Anolis sagrei: one gene and its partner. The protein of the gene in region 2 interacts with the protein of the main gene of each other region in a pairwise test. Links are inferred from orthologs where the notes say so. Each region holds a gene or a part of one and is shown on either strand. Other genes may lie near its edges.

What was found.
Region 1: the proteins of SIAH1 (region 2) and TMEM43 interact in binary tests that used the Homo sapiens proteins (3 or more experiments, as listed by UniProt). The two-hybrid records come from large-scale screens. The link is inferred for Anolis sagrei from reciprocal best matches to the Homo sapiens genes SIAH1 and TMEM43.

Annotation. Positions count from the first base shown.
Region 1 is NC_090022.1:52,195,313-52,205,683, forward strand, and holds the start of TMEM43 (transmembrane protein 43), read right to left. Parts: upstream 4,259-10,371; 5' UTR 4,193-4,258; intron 1-4,192. Other genes in the region: CHCHD4 (mitochondrial intermembrane space import and assembly protein 40), read left to right, coding at 4,583-4,604. UniProt on the Homo sapiens protein: May have an important role in maintaining nuclear envelope structure by organizing protein complexes at the inner nuclear membrane. Required for retaining emerin at the inner nuclear membrane.
Region 2 is NC_090028.1:36,557,676-36,567,718, reverse strand, and holds the start of SIAH1 (E3 ubiquitin-protein ligase SIAH1), read right to left. Parts: upstream 4,153-10,043; 5' UTR 3,660-4,152; coding exon 3,569-3,659; intron 3,537-3,568; exon of another isoform or gene 3,435-3,536; coding exon of another isoform or gene 3,401-3,434; intron 1-3,400. UniProt on the Homo sapiens protein: E3 ubiquitin-protein ligase that mediates ubiquitination and subsequent proteasomal degradation of target proteins.

The DNA.
Region 1 (10,371 bases), on a different chromosome or scaffold from region 2:
ATTCTTGGACATCTATAAAAATGTCCAACCCTCAAAATTATATTTGCATAATATTTTAAAGGGTCTGGAGCTGTACACTACAAATTAAGCCCCCACCACAAGAAATCTACAAGAGTTTTGGCCTTGGGTGTATCTACACCAGACATGGGCAAACTTCCAACAGCCTTGGAGGGGTTTGGACTGGATGGCCCACAAGGTCTCTTCCAACTCTATGATTCTATGTTAGGAATCGTGGGAGTTGGAGTCCAAAACACCTGAAGGGCCGAAGTTTTCCCATGTTTGGTCTAAACCGTAAAATGAATGCAGTTTGACCCCACTTGAACTGCCATGGAACAGTGGTAGTTGTAGTTTGGAGAGGCATGAGTATTCTTTGGCAGAGAAGGCCCAAGACTTTGTGAAACCACAACTCTCATGGTCCCACAGCCTTTAGCCATGGCAGTTTAAACTGGTACCAAGCTGCATTCATTCTCTAATGAAAATGCATTCCAGGAAAAAACTGCTTGACTATCAAGCAAAGCGTGGGTGCTAGAAATAACATCATACGAAAGCTGACTGGGGCTACCTGGAGATCACAGTGAAGACATCTGTCTTTGCGCTTTGCTACTCTGCTGCTGAGTATGCATGCCCAGTGTGGAACACATCTCACCACGTTAAAACAGTGAATGTGGCTCTTAATGAGACATGCCGCATTATCACAGGACATTCACACCCTACACCACTGGAGAAATTATATTGTTTAGCCAGTACTGCACCACCTGATATCCACCAGGAAGTAGAGCCAGCAATTAGAGGACCAAGGCATTGACATCTCCAGCCCATCCCCTGTTCAGATATCAGCCAGCATGCCAACGACTTAGTAAAAAGCTTACTAAGATCTACAGAGATACTCGCAGGAACACCTCAGCAAGCGAGAGTCCAAAAGTGGCAGGCTAAAACCCAGAGCCTCAATCAGTGGCTGATCCTGGATGAGAAACTCCTTCCTTGGGACACAGAAGAGTGGGTGGCCTGGAAGGCACTGAACAGGCTGCACTTTGGTGGCACAAGATGCAGCGCCAATCTTAAGAAATGAGGCTACAAAGTGGAATCCATGACATGCATATGTGGAGCAAAGCAAACCACAGACCACTTACTACAATGCAGTCTGAGCTCCACCACAAGCATAGTGGAGGACCTTCTTACAGCAACAACAGAGGAACTCCAAGTTGCCAGTTTCTGGTCAAAGGACATTTAGTATAATGCCAAGTTTTACCTTTGTGGTTTTTTTATACATTATAACTGTATTCTCAATTCGTTTCTGATGCAATAAATAAATTATTTCCAGGAAAGTACATCTACACTGTGTATAGTGTACTTTCTACACTGGATGATGAGTGCAGTTTGATCCCATGGCTCAATGCTAGGGAAGCATGGGAGTTGTAGTTTTACAAGGTCTTTCACCCTCCCAAAGAGTGCTGGTATATACCCCAACTACTATTCTCATGATTCCATCACCCTGAGCCATGGCAATCAAAGTGGTGCCAAACTGAATTAATTCTACAGTACAGGTGCCCTACTGTCCTGCAAACCGGTATGTACAGTGTTGCTCCTATCTTCTTTTAAGTTGCTTCTCGCCAGCACAGCTGTCCTCTTAAGAAAGGGCGTCTGTGAATTGTTTCAGGCTGAGATCACTTGCAGGGCTCAACAAGCACTTTCTGCTTTTCTTCGCTTGCAAGTGTTAAGGCACACTTTACCTCGCTACAGTGTACATCCAGTCCATAAATGGCACTCTCTCAGTTCTGGCACCCATCAATCAATAATGCTCCATTTGAGTTGTTAGAATGAATGGAAGGCAGCTCTGATAAGAACGTTCTGTCACTTTTAGTAGTTTGATGTATCAGAAATCTTCCATTTTTGTCTTTTACTTGAATAGAGGAAAACTCCCTATTACTTTTACTTTCCCATGATTCCATTGCACTGAGCTATGGCACTTAAAGTTGGATCAAACTGCATTAATTCTATCGACAGCAGTGTTTCTCAACCTTCCTAATACCTCCAACCACAAAATTATTTTTGTTGCTACTACATAATTGTAATTTTGCTACTGTTATGAATCGTAATATAAATATCTGATATACAGGATGTATTTTCATTCACTGGACCAAATCTAGCACACATAGCCAATACACTCAAATTTGAATGCTGGTGAGGTTTTTTTTGGGGGGGGGGGGGTTTGGCGGGGGGGGGGGAAGGGGATTGATTTTGGGTTGTTGTAGGTTTTTTCGGGCTATATGGCCATGGCCTAGAGGCATTCTCTCCTGACATTTCGCCTGCATCTATGGCAAGCATCCTCAGAAGTAGTGAGGTCTGTTGGAACTAGGAACCATGAAAATGAACACAATCTGGCTACCAGTATTAAAAAACTCTAAAATTACAACAGCACAACAACAGAGAGGAAACAAACAAGGACATCTAATCACCTCTCAACAAAAGTTTGCTCTAGGCACTGCCAGGCAATCAAATGCTAATCAAGGTGATCAGTTTAAACATTCACACCTGGCTCTAGCAGACAAGAGTCCTTTGTCTCACCCTGGTCATTCCACAGATATATAAACCCTTTTTTCCCTCCTTTCTGTTGAAATTGTCCACATGCTTGTGTATTTCAATGGCTTCTCCGTGTAGTCTGACATGGTGGTTGTGAGAGTGGTCCAGCATTTCTTTTGTCATTTTGATTTTGTCATTTGGGAGTTGTAGTTGATGGGATTTATAGTTCACCTACAATCAAAGAGCATTCTGAACTCTCCCAATGATGGAATTGAACCAAACTTGGCACACACGACCAATAGAAAATACTGGATGGGTTGGTGGGCAGTGACCCTGAGTTTTGGAGTTGTAGTTCACCTACATTCAGAGCACTAAGGACTCAAACAATGAAGGATCTAGACTCAACTTGGTGCAGATACTTAATAAAAAATGTGAAAAATGGTGGGGTTTGGGGAAAATAGACCTTGACATTTGGGAGTTGTAGTTGCTGGGATTTATAGTTCACCTACAATCAAAGAGCATTCTGAACTCCACCATGGATGGAATTGAACCAAACTCAGCACACAGAATTCCCATGACAAACAGAAAATACTGGAAGGGTTTGGTGGGCATTGACCTTGAGTTTTGGAGTTGTAGTTCACTTACATGCAGAGAGCACTGAGGACTCAAACAATAATGGATCTGAACCAAACTTGACACAAATACTCAATATGCCCAAATGTGAACATTGGTGGAGTTTGGGGAAGATAGACATTTGGCAGATGTAGTTGCTGGGATTTATAGTTCACCTACAATCAAAGAGCATTCTGAACCCTACCAATGATAGAATTGGGCCAAACTTCCCACACAAAGCCCCCATGACCAACAGAAAGTTTTTTGATGGTCTTTTGTGACCCCTCTGACACCCCCTCGTGACCCCCAGGTGGAGAAACGCTAATCTACAGACTTTGGACCTAGGGCAGGCTATTAGGAATTGTGGGAGTTGGAGTCCAAAACACTTGGAAGGCCAAAGTTTGCCCATGCCTGGTCTAGATGCACTGCTAAATTCATAAAATCATAGAATCAAAGAATTGGAACAGACCTCATGGGCCATCCAGTCCAACCCCCTGCCAACAAGCAGGAATATTGCATTCAAAGCACCCCTGACAGATGGCCATCCAGCCTCTGTTTAAAAGCTTCCAAAGAAGGAGCCTCCACCACACTCCGGGGCAGAGAGTTCCACTGGTGAACGGCTCTCACAGTCAGGAAGTTCTTCCTCATGTCCAGATGGAATCTCCTCTCTTGTAGTTTGAAGCCATTGTTCCACGTCCTAGTCTCCAAGGAGGCAGAAAACAAGCTTGCTCCCTCCTCCCTGTGGCTTCCTCTCACATATTTATACATGGCTATCATGTCTCCTCTCATCCTTCTCTTCTTCAGGCTAAACATGCCCAGCTCCTTAAGCCGCTCCTCATAGGGCTTGTTCTCCAGACCCTTGATCATTTTAGTCGCCCTCCTCTGGACACATTCCAGCTTGTCAATATCTCTCTTGAATTGAGGTGCCCAGAATTGGACACAGTATTCCAGGTGTGTGAAATGCAAGTGAAACTTTAATTTCACAAAACTTTTAGTACTTTCCCCACTCAAAACAAACCCTATTTAAGTAGAGAAGGAATAAGAAGGAATCCATACTCACTTTTCTCCAGTCTTGCTTTAAACACCGAGAGAACACACTCCAACTAGTCGCCAAGCAAAGCCACGCCCACCGCCCTGCACAAGGCCCCGCCCCTTTTCAAGAACACATGCGCGCGGTTTCGAAGCATGCCGGGAGTTGTAGTCTTCCAAAACAGGACGCACGTCGTTTGACGCACAGCATGGCGGGGAGGGTCATTGCGTGAAGGTCGCGAAGCATGCCGGGAGGCGCAAGGCCGTAAGGGAGTAACGGCTTCTCGGCGTGGTTTAGTGTCGTGGTTGCCGCCTCCCTCCCGCACCGTTTTTCCCCTCTTCTTCTTCAAGGAGGCTTTCGAGGCGGAGAGAGAGAGAGAGAAAGAGAGAGCCCTTCTTTGGCCGGGCTTTCCTGAGGGCCATGTCCTACTGCAGGCAAGAAGGTACCCGGGGATCTCTGGCAGGAGGGGAGGGGAGGAAGGAGGCAGAGCAGGCCTCGGGCCCCAAGCGAAGGACCCAAGGCGAAGGGCTCCTGGGAGTTGTAGCTTTACAAGGTCTTCAGCCTTCTCTGTCAAAGGAAAAGGATTCTTCGCAAATCCAGAGGTTAAAATGGGGTCAAAGTGCATTATTTCTACAGTGCAGATGCACCAAGGTGACCCAGGTCTCACCTGCACTGGACCTACAATCCAGTTTCTGAAAACAGATTATCTGATTTTAAACTAGATTACAGGAAGTCCCCAAATTACGAGCAAGATAGGTTATGTAAATTTGTTCTTATTATAATAATGTAATACAATATAGTAATAATACAGTAGAATATATAATAACATTGTAATATAATAAGGCTAAGATATTATATCTGATACTACTGATAATATATAACAATATATAATGATATACTCTATTATTATTTTATATTTTAGTTTGTAGTGTTTTTGATTGGGAGCTGATTTGAGTGTCTGCTTTGAGAGATAAAGCAAGATATAAATAAAATAAGTCAGATCATTTTTTCAGTATAGTTCCAGATAGATAGATACACACACACACCAGGTTTAGATAATATAGGGAAGGGTGAACACCCCTGTGGTGTTGTTTTGCTGTCTGTGCCGCTGTTCAAAAGATTTCATCCTGTGATAATTGGATTTTGAAAACTGCATTAATTCTACAGCAGGGGTCCTCAAACTTTTTAAACAGAGGGCCAGGTCATAGTCTCTCAAACTGTTGGAGGGCCAGATTATAATTTGAAAAAAGGATAATGAATTTCTATGCACACAGCACATATCTTATTTGTAGTGCAAAAAACACTTAAAAACAATACAATAATTAAAATGAAGAACAATTTTAACAAATATAAACTTATTAGTATTTCAATGGGAAGTGTGGGCCTGCTTTTGGCTGATGAGATAGGATTATTGTTGTTGTATGCTTTCAAGTCATTTCAGACTTTGGTTGACCCTGAGCGAGGACCGGGTAAATGACCTTGGAGGGCTGCATCCGGCCCTCGGGCCTTAGTTTGAGGACCCCTGTTCTACACTGTAGATTCGTTCTCAGTTAAGAAGGACAATAGACTAGATGTTGTGTAAAGAGTAACTCTGGTATCAAAAGGCTAGTAATCATAAGCAGTTTGTGGACCAACGACTTAGAAGTGGGAAGGCCCATCTAGTCCAATCCTCTGCTGTATAGGAACACATAGCTAAAACAGTCTTTCTAAGACAAGCATGGGCAAACTTGGGTCCTCCAGGTGTTTTGGACTTCAGCTCCCACAATTCCTAACAGCTGGTAGGCTATTAGGAATTATGGGAGTTGAAGTACAAAACACCTTGCTGGATGAAGTTTGCCCATGCCTGTTCTAAGGGATAGCCATCTTGTATGAACTTCACATGTTTAAGTTAATTTTTCACAAAAGACAAAATTCAACGTGAAAGGAATAGATATAGCACTTACTTTGCATCTTTGTTGAGGTTTTATCTAGGTTTTTTCCTTGTTCTTGCTTGGGAGAGAACCCTGTGAGGTCAACCAGGTGAGATTCAAGGTCATTCATTGGGAGTCATGTGGCTGAACCTCTGCCATATTGAGATATTCTTGAGAAAGGGTATGGGTTTGAAATTTTCCTCCTAACTTACTCTTCAATATTTCTGGATAGGTAGAGTATTAAAAGCTTGTTTTCTACTGCTCAGAAAACACAGAGCAATGGATTCAAATTACAGGAAAAGAGATTCTAACTAAAATTAGGAAGAACTTCCTGACAGTAAGACGGATTTGCCAGTGAAATACGCTTCCCTGGAGCATGGCTGAGGCTCCTCCTTTGTAGGTTTTTAAACAAGCTGAATGACCACCTATTGGAAGTACTTTGATTATGCATTGCTGCATGGCAGAAAGGGATTGGGCTAAATGACTCTTGGGTCTTTTTCAACTTTGATTCTAAAAGGTTGCATTCCCAAGAAACATGGAAGCCTATCTACATCTTTTCTTTCCAAGGGCAGGAGACACGCTACAGTGCATATTACAGTCTTCTGTTTGAAAGGTACTTTGGAGGTGGTAGGGCTCAAAATGTATACCATATATACTTGAGTATAAGCCGACCCAAATATAAGCTGAGACACCTAATTTTACCACAAAAAAACTTGGAAAACGTATTGACTCGAGTCTAAGCCAAGGGTGAGAAATGCAGCAGCTACTGGTAAATTTCAAAATAAAAATAGATACCAATGTCCTCAATTACATTAATTGAGGCATTACTAGGTTAAATGTTTTTGAATATTTACATAAAACTGTTATTTAAGATAAGACTGCCCAACCCTGATTAAATCATTATTCTAACCTTCAATGTAAATGTGCTTACATATTCTTCCAATAGTAATAGAGTAAAATAATAAATGTAATAAAAATAATAATAGAGTAAAATAATGTAAATGTAATAATAATAAAAATAGAGTAAAATAATAAATGTAATAAAAATAATAATTACAGAGTAAAATGATAAATAACTTTGACTCAAATATAGGCTGAGGAAGGCTTTTTCATCCTAAAAAAAGAGCTGAAAACTCAGCATATACTTGAGTATATACAGTATATCAAGGTTGCTTAGGCTACACTAACATCACCTTGGAACATGTGTGGCAACGAGCAACTCTATGGCAGCATTCAGCTCCCAAGGCTGTTCCTGTCAGTCTGAACCTATGGTATATTTCTGTATGGAAAGCAGACACTGACATAAGGGAAATCTTTTGGCCTAGTTGCTGATAAGGCAGGTCAGGAAGCTTTGAGATAGCTTTTTGGATTGCTAAAATTGGATCTGTGAGGCAGCTTCACTTTCCCAATCCTTGTTCCCATGGAAGGGATAGTTTGACATTTTTTGTACCATAAGTTATTCTGTAGGTGAAAACAAGTGGAAATCAAAACATAGGATATATTTGATACCTTTAAATCAAGCATCACTCTTGATCATTTTATTCTGAGGACTAATGATGGCTTAACATTGGGATTTTGCATATTTTATTTCCCCATTATGTTTATGAAGTTGATTAAACAGAAGGCCGTTTCACTACCTGGCAGCATTATCTAACACATTCTTGCTCCTTGACATAGATTTATTGCTGAGTGAGTAGTAGGCCTTGTATGTATTTTATGTTCTCATTTTTATGATCGTATTTAGTTCTTGGTGTTGATTTTAGAAGTTGTTCTTTTCCTCATTCTTAGTGTGAAGGCTCATTGAGTTTTCTCTTTACATTTCTTTCAATTTTCCCTTTCCTTGCACATAGAACGGAGTGAATGATGACACTGACTAGCAACTGCTGTCAAGTTGTGTAAGGATCACATGGTAACATCCAACAGAAGCATAAATTACAGCGTTTGATTTAATAGGGTACAGTTGAGGACATAGTCTAATGAAAAGCTAAATGAACACAAAGTAATTGCTGTAGGATAATAATAAAATCATAGGCATTTAGTAAAGCAGTTTAAATAAAAGTAATACGTGGATTTAAGGCTAAATAAAAGTTGTTTATTTACTTTTAAAGATATTATTATATTTATTGATTGCCTAGAGATACGCTTTGGCAAGCGGTATACAAAAAGTTGTGGCTTTGATTTTTACCTGGCAATTTTGGTACCTTGAAAAGTAAGAAATCAGCTTGTGTCATATATTTCATGGATTATAACAGGGGTGAGAGTCATGCCGACTTCCCGATGCTGGACTAAAACTCCAGCATTCCTCACAATTGACTGTGCTGGCTAAGGCTGCTGGGACTTACAGTTCAGCAGTATCTGGAAGGCAACATGATTCCTATCCCTGGATTATTTATTTATTTATTTCATTTATATACCGCTTTTCTCAGCCCTTGGGCGATTATAGGCTCTAAAACTATGGAAGATTAGTCTATAGTGTATTTGTGATAGATCTTTAAGGTGCTACAAGTTTCTCTTTCATTTTTTCTTCTGAAGCAGATCAGCACAACCACTCCTGTAATGAGTTTTCTTAATATCACTTAAATCTATATAAATAAAAATGTAATGTTCGTTTGTGATACCATCATATCTCAAAAACCACTGGGGGAATTGGCACCAAATTTGGACACAATACACCTAACAACCCAATGTATGTTCTCCACTCAACCTCCCCCCCCTCAAAAAAAAACACTTCCCCCTCCCTCCCCCTACCCCCCCTTAGAAAGACGATCAACTGTAAGCCTCAGGCAGGGGGAGGGGAGGAGTGCACGTGCATGGCCAGCAGCGAGTGTGCATGGAGGCCCTTCCTTCAGGAGCTGGAGGAAAAACCCTCATCCCTGCAGGCCTGCTACCCTGTCACTATCCTTTACATCAGGGGTCCTCAAACTATGGGGTGTGGAGAAGGGTGAGTCCCCCCCCCCCCAAGAAGTGCTTCCCTGGGCAGCAGCACTGGCAGGTACAAAGGAGGCCGGGCTCCCTCCTCCTCCTCTTCCAAGGAGTAAACTTGCAACTGAAGGAAAGGAGGGATTGGGGGGGGGCACATTAGGAGCTGAGGGGAAAAAACAAACAAAAAGAGGTAAACAACACTTTACATTTACTTTGTGCCTTCACTCTACAGCAATGCCCTTCTTTTTTGGATTCTCCATGCTCCAACATATTGGAGGAAGCAGCAGCAGCAAAAGAGGCGGGGGGGGGGGGAGCAGCAGTAAGGGAGACGGACTCTCCTCCCTCTCTCTCTTTCTCTCTTTCTCTCTCTCCCTGCAGCATCCACCGGATTCCTGGCTATGGCTCTGCAGGCTTCCAGCCCCATGCTAACTTTAAGGTTGTGTCACATGGCTCCTTGGAGGGGGGGGGGCTAAGGATTACCCAGCCCACCACTCTCCAGGGCCAGCAAGAGTGACCAAAAGCTTTATTTACTGCAGAGGAGGCTCCTGTTTGGAGGAGAAAAGGTGAGAGGCAGGAGCCTGAGATTGGGGGCTGAGGCCTGCAAGAGGAGAAGTTCTGTGGGCAAAGATTCTTGGAATGGCTGGGTGCCTCTGAGCATGTGCAGAGTGATTCCTTGAACTTTCCAAAGGTGATTGATTGCAACTCCTTTCATCCCCAAAATGATGGGAGATGCCTTTGAGAAAGGATGGGAGATGAAACTAGGGGGTGCATCTGCACTGGGAAATTAATGTGGCTCAGTAGCATTTTAACTGTGGATCCCAGGGAGTTGTAGTTTGACAAGGCCTTGGGCTGCTTCTACAATGAATGCAGTTCGGTACCACTTCCGCGGCTCAATAAATCATGGGATTTGTTGTCTTGAGCCTCCTTTGCCGAGGAGTATAGGAAACTGCAAATCCCAGGATTTTGTAGCAGTTAAACTGCATTAATTCTACAGTGTAGATCAGGCATGAGCAAACTTTGGCCCTCCTGGTGTTTTGGACTTCAAATGTAGGAGTTATTTATTTATTTATTTATTTTATATCCTATTTTTTCTCTCCATACGGAGACTCAAAGCAGCTCACGATTAAAAACATTACAATACAACTTATAAAATATACAATAATACAACAGTATTGTCATTATATATTATATGTAGTATTATAATTAATATTTCAGTTTTGCTGGGTGTCTTCCTTGCTATCTTTTTGTAGACAAGTGAAGATTCTTTTGTTTCATCAGGTCTTTGAAGGATGATTGCGCAGGAAAAAGACCTTTCATGTACTGCGTTTACAGTAGGGTCCATTTGTTTGATGTGGTCTCTGCCTCGAGTTGTAAGCC
Region 2 (10,043 bases):
AAAACAGTAAGAGAAAAACATCAATCTAATGTACTTTTCACCCTTGAAACCATGTGGACTTGGTTGTTGAAATTAGTCAAAATATTTTCATAACATAGTTAATGTGCCATCTGGCTACACTATTTTGTAGTTGCAACACTATTAGGTACCTTAGAAAATACAGCTGGTGTAGACTCAAAGCTTATACTGCAGTCTTATTGTACACTTGCACTGCACAGTTTAAAGTGTTTAATGAATGGGATTAAGTCATTAATATTTTAATATCAAATGCCCAAAATTAAGTGGACTTATGATTCCTTTATGTATCCAAGAATGTAATCATAATCGCTGACTCAGAGTAAAATGTATTTGAGAAAGTGGGACTTAATGTCTGAGTGAATACAGAAAAAGGCCTTCTTATTCCACAGGTTGAATATCCACCGTTTCACTATTCATCTCCAGACAATATTGGAACTGTTTGTGAGCCTCTCTAGGTCCTCCAGTGCTATTTGATAGTATGCTTCTAACCCAAATACAGTTATCTCTCCATATTTGTGAAATCGACTTTTGCTGATCTGATTGTTTACAGATTTGATTAAAATGTTCTTTCTAGAAATCTTTGAGAATCTTCAAGGTAACTATGATCATCTTTTGCCAAAGGTTGATCATAGTTATGCTGGAGGATACCTCCAGAAGAACAAGAGATTCCTAGAGAGTCTGACCGCAGTGGATGTTTACAACAATGTCATGCTGCTAAAACTTGATATTTCTTGAAAAGTGTTCTCAGGTTCAAAAACAGACATTTTTTTACTTGTGTCTTTTCACTTTGTGGGGGCTTATGCCCAGCTAATAGAGAAGACTGCCTATGTAGTCAAAACAGGGTTTCCTGGTATCCATCGTTGTGTGTGTTTGTGTGTGTGTTTTGGAACGTATCCTCCATGAATATGGAGACCATATTATATTTTCAAACAGTACAAATTTAGAAGAACATGAGTGGATGGTGTCATCTTAGAAAAAGAATCTGATCTCTACTTAACAAAAGTAAGAATTCACTGCCTGCTACAATATGAATATGCATCTAAAATATTTTTATTTATTTAGTTAATTTTAATCCTACTTTTCTCCCGGTATGGGGTGTTCAGATTTGTTTTATTTGCATGCTAATGAACACACTACACTGTAATTCAATCAAGAAAGCCATGGGTCTCCTTTGTTTTCTAATGATCAGATATCCAACATGCAACATAAAAAATTCACCTTTCTCACTTTTGCTGGGTATACCTAAACCTAGATAGCTAACTGTTATGATATGAAAGTTCAATTTTTTTAAAAAAAAAAAACCAATAAGAAAACTAACACAACCATTCTTTAAATAAATACACAACAAGCCATTTCAAGAAGAATTGGGACTCAAATGGGGAATTTTGATAGCTAAAGTAAATAGAAAAGGATAATATAAAGAACTGAATCATACTTTCTTCACGATTGATCAATTAAAATAACACCAGAGGGTGGGGTGGGGGAGGGGGAGAAAAACTACTGAATACAAGTGAGACTTGATTGTGGAGCTGGTAAGGTTAAGATAATAGGATATATCAAATTGAGAGAAAATGCAAGTGGAATATCATTATCTATTTTTTCTGTTTAACCTTGTGGGATTGTTTTTGACATTTGTATCATTCTGCTTGTGTTTACAACAATAATAATCATTTCAGTAGTTGTGTTTACATTATTACTTTACTAGTAACAACTGATCAGCCCCATCACCATAATATCTATGTTTTGCCATAGATAATATAATATTAAATGAAACTGATTTTTAAAAATAAATGCCATTATGGAACTAGAAATAAATAAAGTTCACTTCCATTTTTAAATTACTGTGAAAATACCCTAAAAATTGTATATTTTCCTAGTGGGAAATCTGCATACCTCCTTTTCCATTAGGCGTTGATAAGTACTGTAATCATAAGATCTCTGCAAGATAAAGCAGTGAGCAACCGGACAAAAAACCAAGAGTAATTAAATTACAAGGCCACTGCAGTGTGCAGATGCTACTGAAATGGAAGAGTTAAACCTGAGAGCACCATGGGAACACAGATACTAAATGGGACAGTCATATGTTTATGGTAACCACAGTATTTTCTTTTCTTCTATCAACATGCACAGTTTATGTTTTGTTCTTGAGTAACTAACACTCTTCTTTTGTTGTGGAATCAACCTTGGACCCAACCTTTGACAAACCTGATTCCAAGCTTAGATTTTATCTTGTGGTTCACATATATATATGATTTTCACACACACACACACACACACATATATATGATTTTATCTTGTGGTTCACACACACACACACACACACACACATATATATATCAGCAACCTGAGTGAAGCTGCCTTTGCAGAACACATGCAAAATAGTGGGAGTGAGTGGTTATCTGCAAGCTGTTTCTAATGACCTGCTATATTAACTCCCAAAGAAGAAGCAATGTTAAAATGAGCAATTTACTACTTGGCAACAGCTGAAGTCAACCACCACAGTCATTTTCACTGGCAGAAATCTCAACACAAGTCTCTAGGAATGAAAAGGATCAACATCAGGAGGATATATGCAAAAAGGCCTGTGACTCTGGATGGAAAACTCATCCTCATACAACAAGGAGAACCAGGACAGCCTGTTGAGCCACTACTCTTAAGTATGCCTTATGTGCCTTCCCAAAACACAAGCTACAAAATGTGTGCTAAGTGTGGGATCCTTTCTCATCATCACAGAGCCTGTCAGGTCCTGCCCAATTCTGAAATACAGATAGAGCTTTCAGCAGCCTATAAATGCATCTGCTCTGATTAAAGCAAGACTTCTCTCAATAACGATTACACGAATCCAGTTTAGTCCATTATCATATGAGAGAAGTCCAGCTACTTTGTTCTTTACCACTACATGCTCCAAAATTCCAATGAGCAGAAATATGTTCAGGATGTTTGATGTCAGCATAAGGGAAAACAATACATGGCATCTCTTGTGTCTTGGCATTAAAAGATACTCAGATGAAAGCAAAGAAAGGCAAGTCTCTTATCTCTCCCCCCATTTTTATTTATCATGGTAACTAAAGACAAACATGTTAGGTCAGTTCAATACTTGGCAGCACTTCAGGAAGAAAACTATATTCAGATCCTGATAAGATTTCTTCGGTGTTACAGGTCACGCTAGATTCCAGGGTGGTGCCATTATTGTAGAGTGATAGAATGTAAAACAGGCCATGTGGACAATGTCAACACTGGTCTGTTTTCCCATGAAGTGTATCAGTGATTGTAGTTATTTCTGCCCCTTTTCAAACATGTATTGAATGTAAAGACAAGGAAAGGTATAAGCCACAAACCTAATTTTGCTAAATTCCTTAGATTTTACAAAAAAGGAAATTACCAGCTGGACTAAGAACTGCAGGATCAGCTCTCATACTGAAGAATTACCCAGAGGCATTTCTGATATCGAGCCAAACAATGAAGAGTGCATGCTTGTGATATCCCAGGCAACAGCGAACTTTTAACACTGAAATGCAGCACCTAACTATTCTGGTCAAACAATGGCTACCTTTTCTTTTGCTGGCTTTATTTCCTGGCAGGCATGTATCAAGGACTCCTTTCCACGCATATAAAAAACTGAAGGCGGATTTCCCCGTCATGAGGAGTAAAAGAGCTCATTGCGTTTCTCCATAGAAACTAAAACAATCCACAACAGAGGCCCCTCCTGGAAACTCCAAGGCAGGAATACAGCACCCAGAAGGGGGGCCACAGCCACAAGAGGCTCGCCACTCCTGGGACAAACCAGGGCAATGAAAGTCAGCTCCCCGCGTTGAAGTAAAGTTTTCCAAGTAATCCAAAGCAAGGTGGGAGTAGAAGAGGTGAAGCTGTAGATCTGGCAAAGCTCCAATTAGGTATATCCACTAGATCAGCAAGGCTCCCTGATAAGGATCCTGGAATTTCCAACACCACATCTTGTACGATTTCAAGTGCATCCAACCAGACGATAATGAAGCTCTAGCCCAAGAATGAAGAGTACAGCCAAAGACAAAACAAGTGAAGACGGCAGCACCAGGAGTAAAGCCACCGGCTGTGGACAGAGCCCTGATCTTGCTCTGCTTCAGCTCCTAACAAATGGGAGGGAAAGGAGGAGGAAGAGGCGGCGTCCCTCCTCAGCCCAGGGAGGGAAGGGAAGGAGGCGGGTGATGGGGCGGACCAGTCTCACATGACCGGCCGGACTCTGCTGGCAGCCAGCTAAGGCAAGCATTCCTCAGAGCCAGAGACTGCTGAGCACAGCAAAGGAGACGCTGGGAAAAGAAGGGTTGGGCTTTTTCTCTGCCACGCAAGGCCAGCCCCAGTCACAGCTCACCTCAAAGGCATCACTCTATTCTTGTGCTAAGGAGTCAGGGCAATGTCTGTACAATGTGGCTTTCGATGCTAACTTAGCAACAATTCTCCACGGTGTTTACTGGGGTCCTTTCCAACTTTACCTGGCCAGGTCAGTGACTCAATCTGGAGCTCTTTGCAAGCACAGCATCTGCACAGCCTCTGAATTTTGGACCTTCCCATAAAAGGCCGCTCTCTGAACTAAGGATCATTTTTTAAAAAAGAAACAAAAGTGAGATAACATTAGCAGTGCACTCTCCTCTGTGATCTCGCCAGAAAAGGATTCCCTTAGCAAACTGGGCTGGCAAAATTCAAGAAACTTTAGCGAACCCAAACTCTGTGGAGGACATAGTAATCCGGGGGTGGAAGTTGTTGTCGTCTCTGCAAAAAATGGGGGGAGGGATTACCATATACAAAATACTAGGCACAGCAGAGAGCAACAGTGATGACACATGGAGGAAGCAACTGCTAATTCTAGAAGTTCATGGATACACTTTTCACTGTTTAAAGCATTTAAGGAATGTATATGGATAATGTGTAAAAAAAACACGCGCACACATACACAGTTAAGGCAACAACGACAAAAAAGGAGCAAAATTATGGCTCTTTATTCTTATCTTTGTTTCACGGGCACTTCAAAATGCTTCTAAACAAAGTGATAGTCTCCTGTGCCTTCAAGTTACCTGTCGACATACAGAGACCCTAAAAACTTCATAGGGTTTTCTTAAACAAGGAATACTCAGAGATGGTTTTGTGAGTTCCTTTCACTGGAATATAGTTAGTCCTTGATTTGTTTCCAGTCTATCCCCACATACATCCCATGGATATGAAGATTCACGGATGCTTAAATCCCATTATATGCAATGGCATAGTAAAACTGTGTGTAAAATCAAAATTTGCAATATTTTCAAACCATGGACGGATGAATCTGTGGCTAATGCAAACTACATCGCTCACAGAACTTCATATCCATTGGTGGTCTCCCACTGAAATACTAACCTGGGATGAACATGCTTGGTTTCCAAGATCATACAGGATCTGGTACTTTTATTTATTTATTATTTGTTTGTTTACGACATTTATATGCCGCCCTTCTCACCCTGAAGGGGACTCAGAGCGGCTTACAAGGTATATATTACATACAATATATTATATTATTAGCATAGTACAATATCAGCATTAAACATTGCTATATTGCACCATATCACTATATCGTAATATTATTAGTAATATTACATGTAATATAAATATATAATTATAATATATTATTATATTGCATTACATTATAATATTATAAATATTTTATGTATATATATTATATTATATTATTATATTTTATATTATTAGAATAGCACTGGAGACAAGATGGAATGTCCCCTGGCCCCCTCTCTCTTCTTCTCTTTTATACATTTACTTCCTAAATATGACCCTGGTTCCACATGAGATGGAAAAGAGATATGCTAGGTACGTTGCCACAAACCAACTGTTGGGACAACTACAGGTCAGTGCTATGTTTTGAATCATGGAATCCTAATCTTTTAAAATGTAAATAAATAAATGTAAAATGTAAATAATCAGTAGATGGAAGAGGTAGTATCAATGCATACTACATTGCTGCTCTACATTACAGATGTGATGACAGTTATTATATTAATGTATTTCTAAAGGAAGTACAAAAAAACTGGAGAAAACAAAATTGCTTGCCAGAACTGTAGCAATTGGACTGTGTTTAGCTATGTTTAGCTCTAAGAAAACATAGATAACGACAATATATCACTAACATCCTGAAATTATATACTCTAGACTGTATTTGCTATTCATTTTTCTTCCAAAGCACTACTCTAATAACAAAAAAAGCATTGCACTTTATTTTATATATTTATTAAAATATTTACACCCCATCCTATGTCAAGTGATCGCAAGGAAATTTGTAACAGCAGTAGAACAGGTTAAACGGGCTAAAACAGCAACAGACTGTACATAAACTTAAATCACATCCAACAATATGTTTAAAAACCAAGTTGAAAAAGTTGTAAATAATAATATTTAGGTTGCATTAATGAGGTTCAAAGGCTTTCATGGGAGGAGCATTGGTGCCAGCTGGGCCTCCAGGAGATGAGCATTCCATAGCTGGGATGCAACAGCTGAGAAGCCTTTCTCCCATGTCCTGACATAGTCATCTCATGGTGGGACAGGGAAAACCCCTCCTCTTCTGAAGATCTTAATTCTCAGACAGGTAAACATAGGAAGAGGCATTCCTTCAAGTGTCAGAGTTATTTAGGGCTTGCGGTATCCCCATAAGCACCTTGTATTCAGACCTGAAATGTATTGGCAGCCAGTGCAATTATTTTAAAACTGGCATTAAATGTTGTGTATATGATATTTCTTCAGCAGTCAAGCTGCTGTACTTTGCACTAACTGCAGTTTCCAAACCTTCAATGGCAGCCCCATGCAGAACACAGTGCAGTAGCCTAGAAGGTTCCCAGTGCATGAATTACCTGTGGTTAGGTTATCCAGGAAAGGTCATAGGCACCAGTCAAAGCTGGCATGAAGCACTCTGGGTTACAAAGCCCACTTTAGCCTTCAGTGACACGGATGGAAACTAGGAGCATTCCCAAGCTGGATATCTGTTGCTTTATGGAGAGTCCAACCCCATCCAGAACAAACTGTTACTCAATTCCTGGATGGAATAACTTCCATTTCACAGAGCCTACGTCTACCAGGATTCAGCTTCAGTTTACTGGCCTTCATCCAGCCCATGACAGCATCCAGGCACTAGTCCAACACCTGCAAAGCCCCAGCTGACTCCAATGATACATAGAAGTTTGGTTATTTTTGAACAATCCAAACATAGATAACTTAATAGAAATGATTAATTGTTTCTAAAACTATTCCTCAATCAAATAATTCAAACTCCAGTTTTCAATCCACATTATTAGAAGTATCAGGACATGACAGAGGCTTTATCATCCCAGGACCATAGAAGACCAGACTCTCCCCACTTTTGTATCTCCTCCCTTACCCACCAACCCCCCCAAAAAAGTGTTTTAAAAAACTTCTTTCAGCAAAAGTTACAACCAGACATTTAATTCAATTTCTCAATACCTCTTTTAGCTCATATAGACTATTTTAGTGCCATATGGATTATTTCTCAAACCGCAATGACAACCACTTCCCATTTTGAAGAGAGAAAAAAGTCCAAATGGGCATAAAGCAGGCAATGGGGTGGGAACTGGGTGAAATGGTCAACCGCAAGATTTCATGAGGGACAACTGGCCAGTTCTAGTGAGAAAGGGTGCACAGGAAAAATGAGGGGGGGGGGGAGCAAACTGTTATTTCAAAGGTTGGCTATATGTAACCTGCAAGATGAGAATAGAAACTCACAATGAAGTAAATAACTAACTTAGTTACAAAGTCACTAATGTTATAATACCATTCAACATACTTGCAATGCTTTAATCTGATACGAACACCACCAAATTACAATAATTTTTCCTCAATTTCATATGTGGTACCCATAAACATTAAAATTCTATAAATAATAGTGCCAATATTAAATAAGTAGCTTTTATTTGGACCTCTGTCTCTGTGTAGTTTAAAAGATTTCCACTTGCAGTATACAATGGTCTGAGTACACATTAAAACTTTCAATCCTATTTTCCTCCTATCATAAGCACTTTCCTGTGTTGGGGGTCACCTCTGAAGTTTCCCAAACATTATTGGAGGGTTTGTTTCCAGAAGGAAATAATTCAGAATTTCACTGCAGACACACATCATTTAGCAGTCATCTGGACTAAGACCAAATCTAAGCAACTAAATATATATGAAAGCTTCCAACAATATTCTACATTGTTTGCAGAATAAATCTTCAAAGGATTCATCCATTTGAGACATATATAGCTCTCCTTAGACAGCAGAGAAGGCCTTCCAAAACTCAAGTACATCAGAACATTTAAGAGTTCACACAAGCATTAATTTGGGACTGAAAGACAACTGCCAAAAACAACAGTCTGACAGGGTAAGAAGAACGAAGCACAATGACCACCATAATCCCACTCTTGAGGAACAGGGTAAAATGGTTTATTCCTATGCAATTCATTTGCCACTGCAGTGCTGGTGCATCATCTTCCTCTCCATCTATATGGGCTGAGGAAATGGAAAGGTTTTCAAGCCTTGCTTATACAAAATAGGCCTGATGCAAGTAGTATGGGTTTGCAGCAGTAGTGCTTCCAGGATTTTGCCCACCGAAAGCAATGACAAACTCCAAAAGATTGCTGTCACTCTATAGCACAGCAGCATCCAAAGTTTTCAGGAGGTACGCCACAAACTATGTCCAGAAAAGGTGACCATGCTACTCTAATAGGGAGCCCAATACATAACCAGCGTTATACACCTTGTCTTGAATCTGTCAAGGCAGATATGCACACAATTGTGTAGAAACTAGAAGCAGGTTGAGTTAGCTATGGTAAGAAAATATGCTTTTTTCTGCCTTCAGCAAGAAGATGGCTCAAATCCAACAGCTCCTTGTGTTCTTTTCTGACTCTTAATATTATAAGCAAATAATCTTTGCATACATCTTATCTTGTATTGAATGGCTGGAATGCAATGGCAGAGTGCATGACTAAGTTCCATGTCCAATTCCAGGCACAGGGTTAAGGAAAAAATCTTGCCTAAAATCTTGGAAAATTGATGCTGGCAAGCGTTAACTGCTGTGAGCTAGTCTCAATGCAAGGCAACTTCCCATGTTCCTAATATAAAGTGCAAGTAGATAGTGTATCGATTTGCACTTTATATTTGAAGATTCACTTTCTGATGGGCAAAGCCAATATTTAACAGAATTCCTTAATTTTCAAAGGAAAGGCATTCAAGGATTTTTATTTAAAGCTGTAACTTTTACCAATTTACTGAAAATACTGAAGTGCCCCCATTTTAAAAAGGTCCCTCACCTCTTTACAAACTGTTGGCTCTTATAATCCTAAATTGATTTGCATTTATGATACCATTTTACATGCATTTTCAAGAAAACCTTTGTTCAAAGCATATTTTAATATAATGCACAGAACTTTCTTCAAACTCCATTCAGAAATCTGAAAATAATAAAGGAATGCACTCTTTGTTTTTTAAAAATAAAAACCACAAAAATGCACTTGTTGTTCATTCGTTCAACCCACGCCAGAGCTCCCTGTCAGCTGTCACCGCCCCCAGCTCCTTCAAGGTCAGTCCAGTCACTTCAAGGATGCCATCCATCCATCTTGCCCTTGGTCGGCTCCTCTTCCTTTTACCTTCCACTTTCCCCAGCATAATTGCCTTCTCTAAGCTTTGCTGTCTCCTCATGATACATTTTAAATATTTGAGCTGTATCATGTATGCTTCTTGGTAGCCCTTGCAATTTACCAATGAAACTATCTCTTTTTAGATATGGTGAACATAATCAGAAATGAACTTGTAAGGACGAATGCTTTTGGATTAAAACTTTATTGCTTATGTGCTTAAAAATTAGAAGCACTTTTTCAGACTCAAGTAAATAGATTCAAATTGGAAGTGGTTGTTAGTTTCAAAATGCAGCAATCCCCCAGTGCTGCCTTTATTGTCCCTCATTTAACATAATTTGCCTGCTCTATGAGGACAAGAGGAACACTCTCATTTTTTAAAAAAGTAGC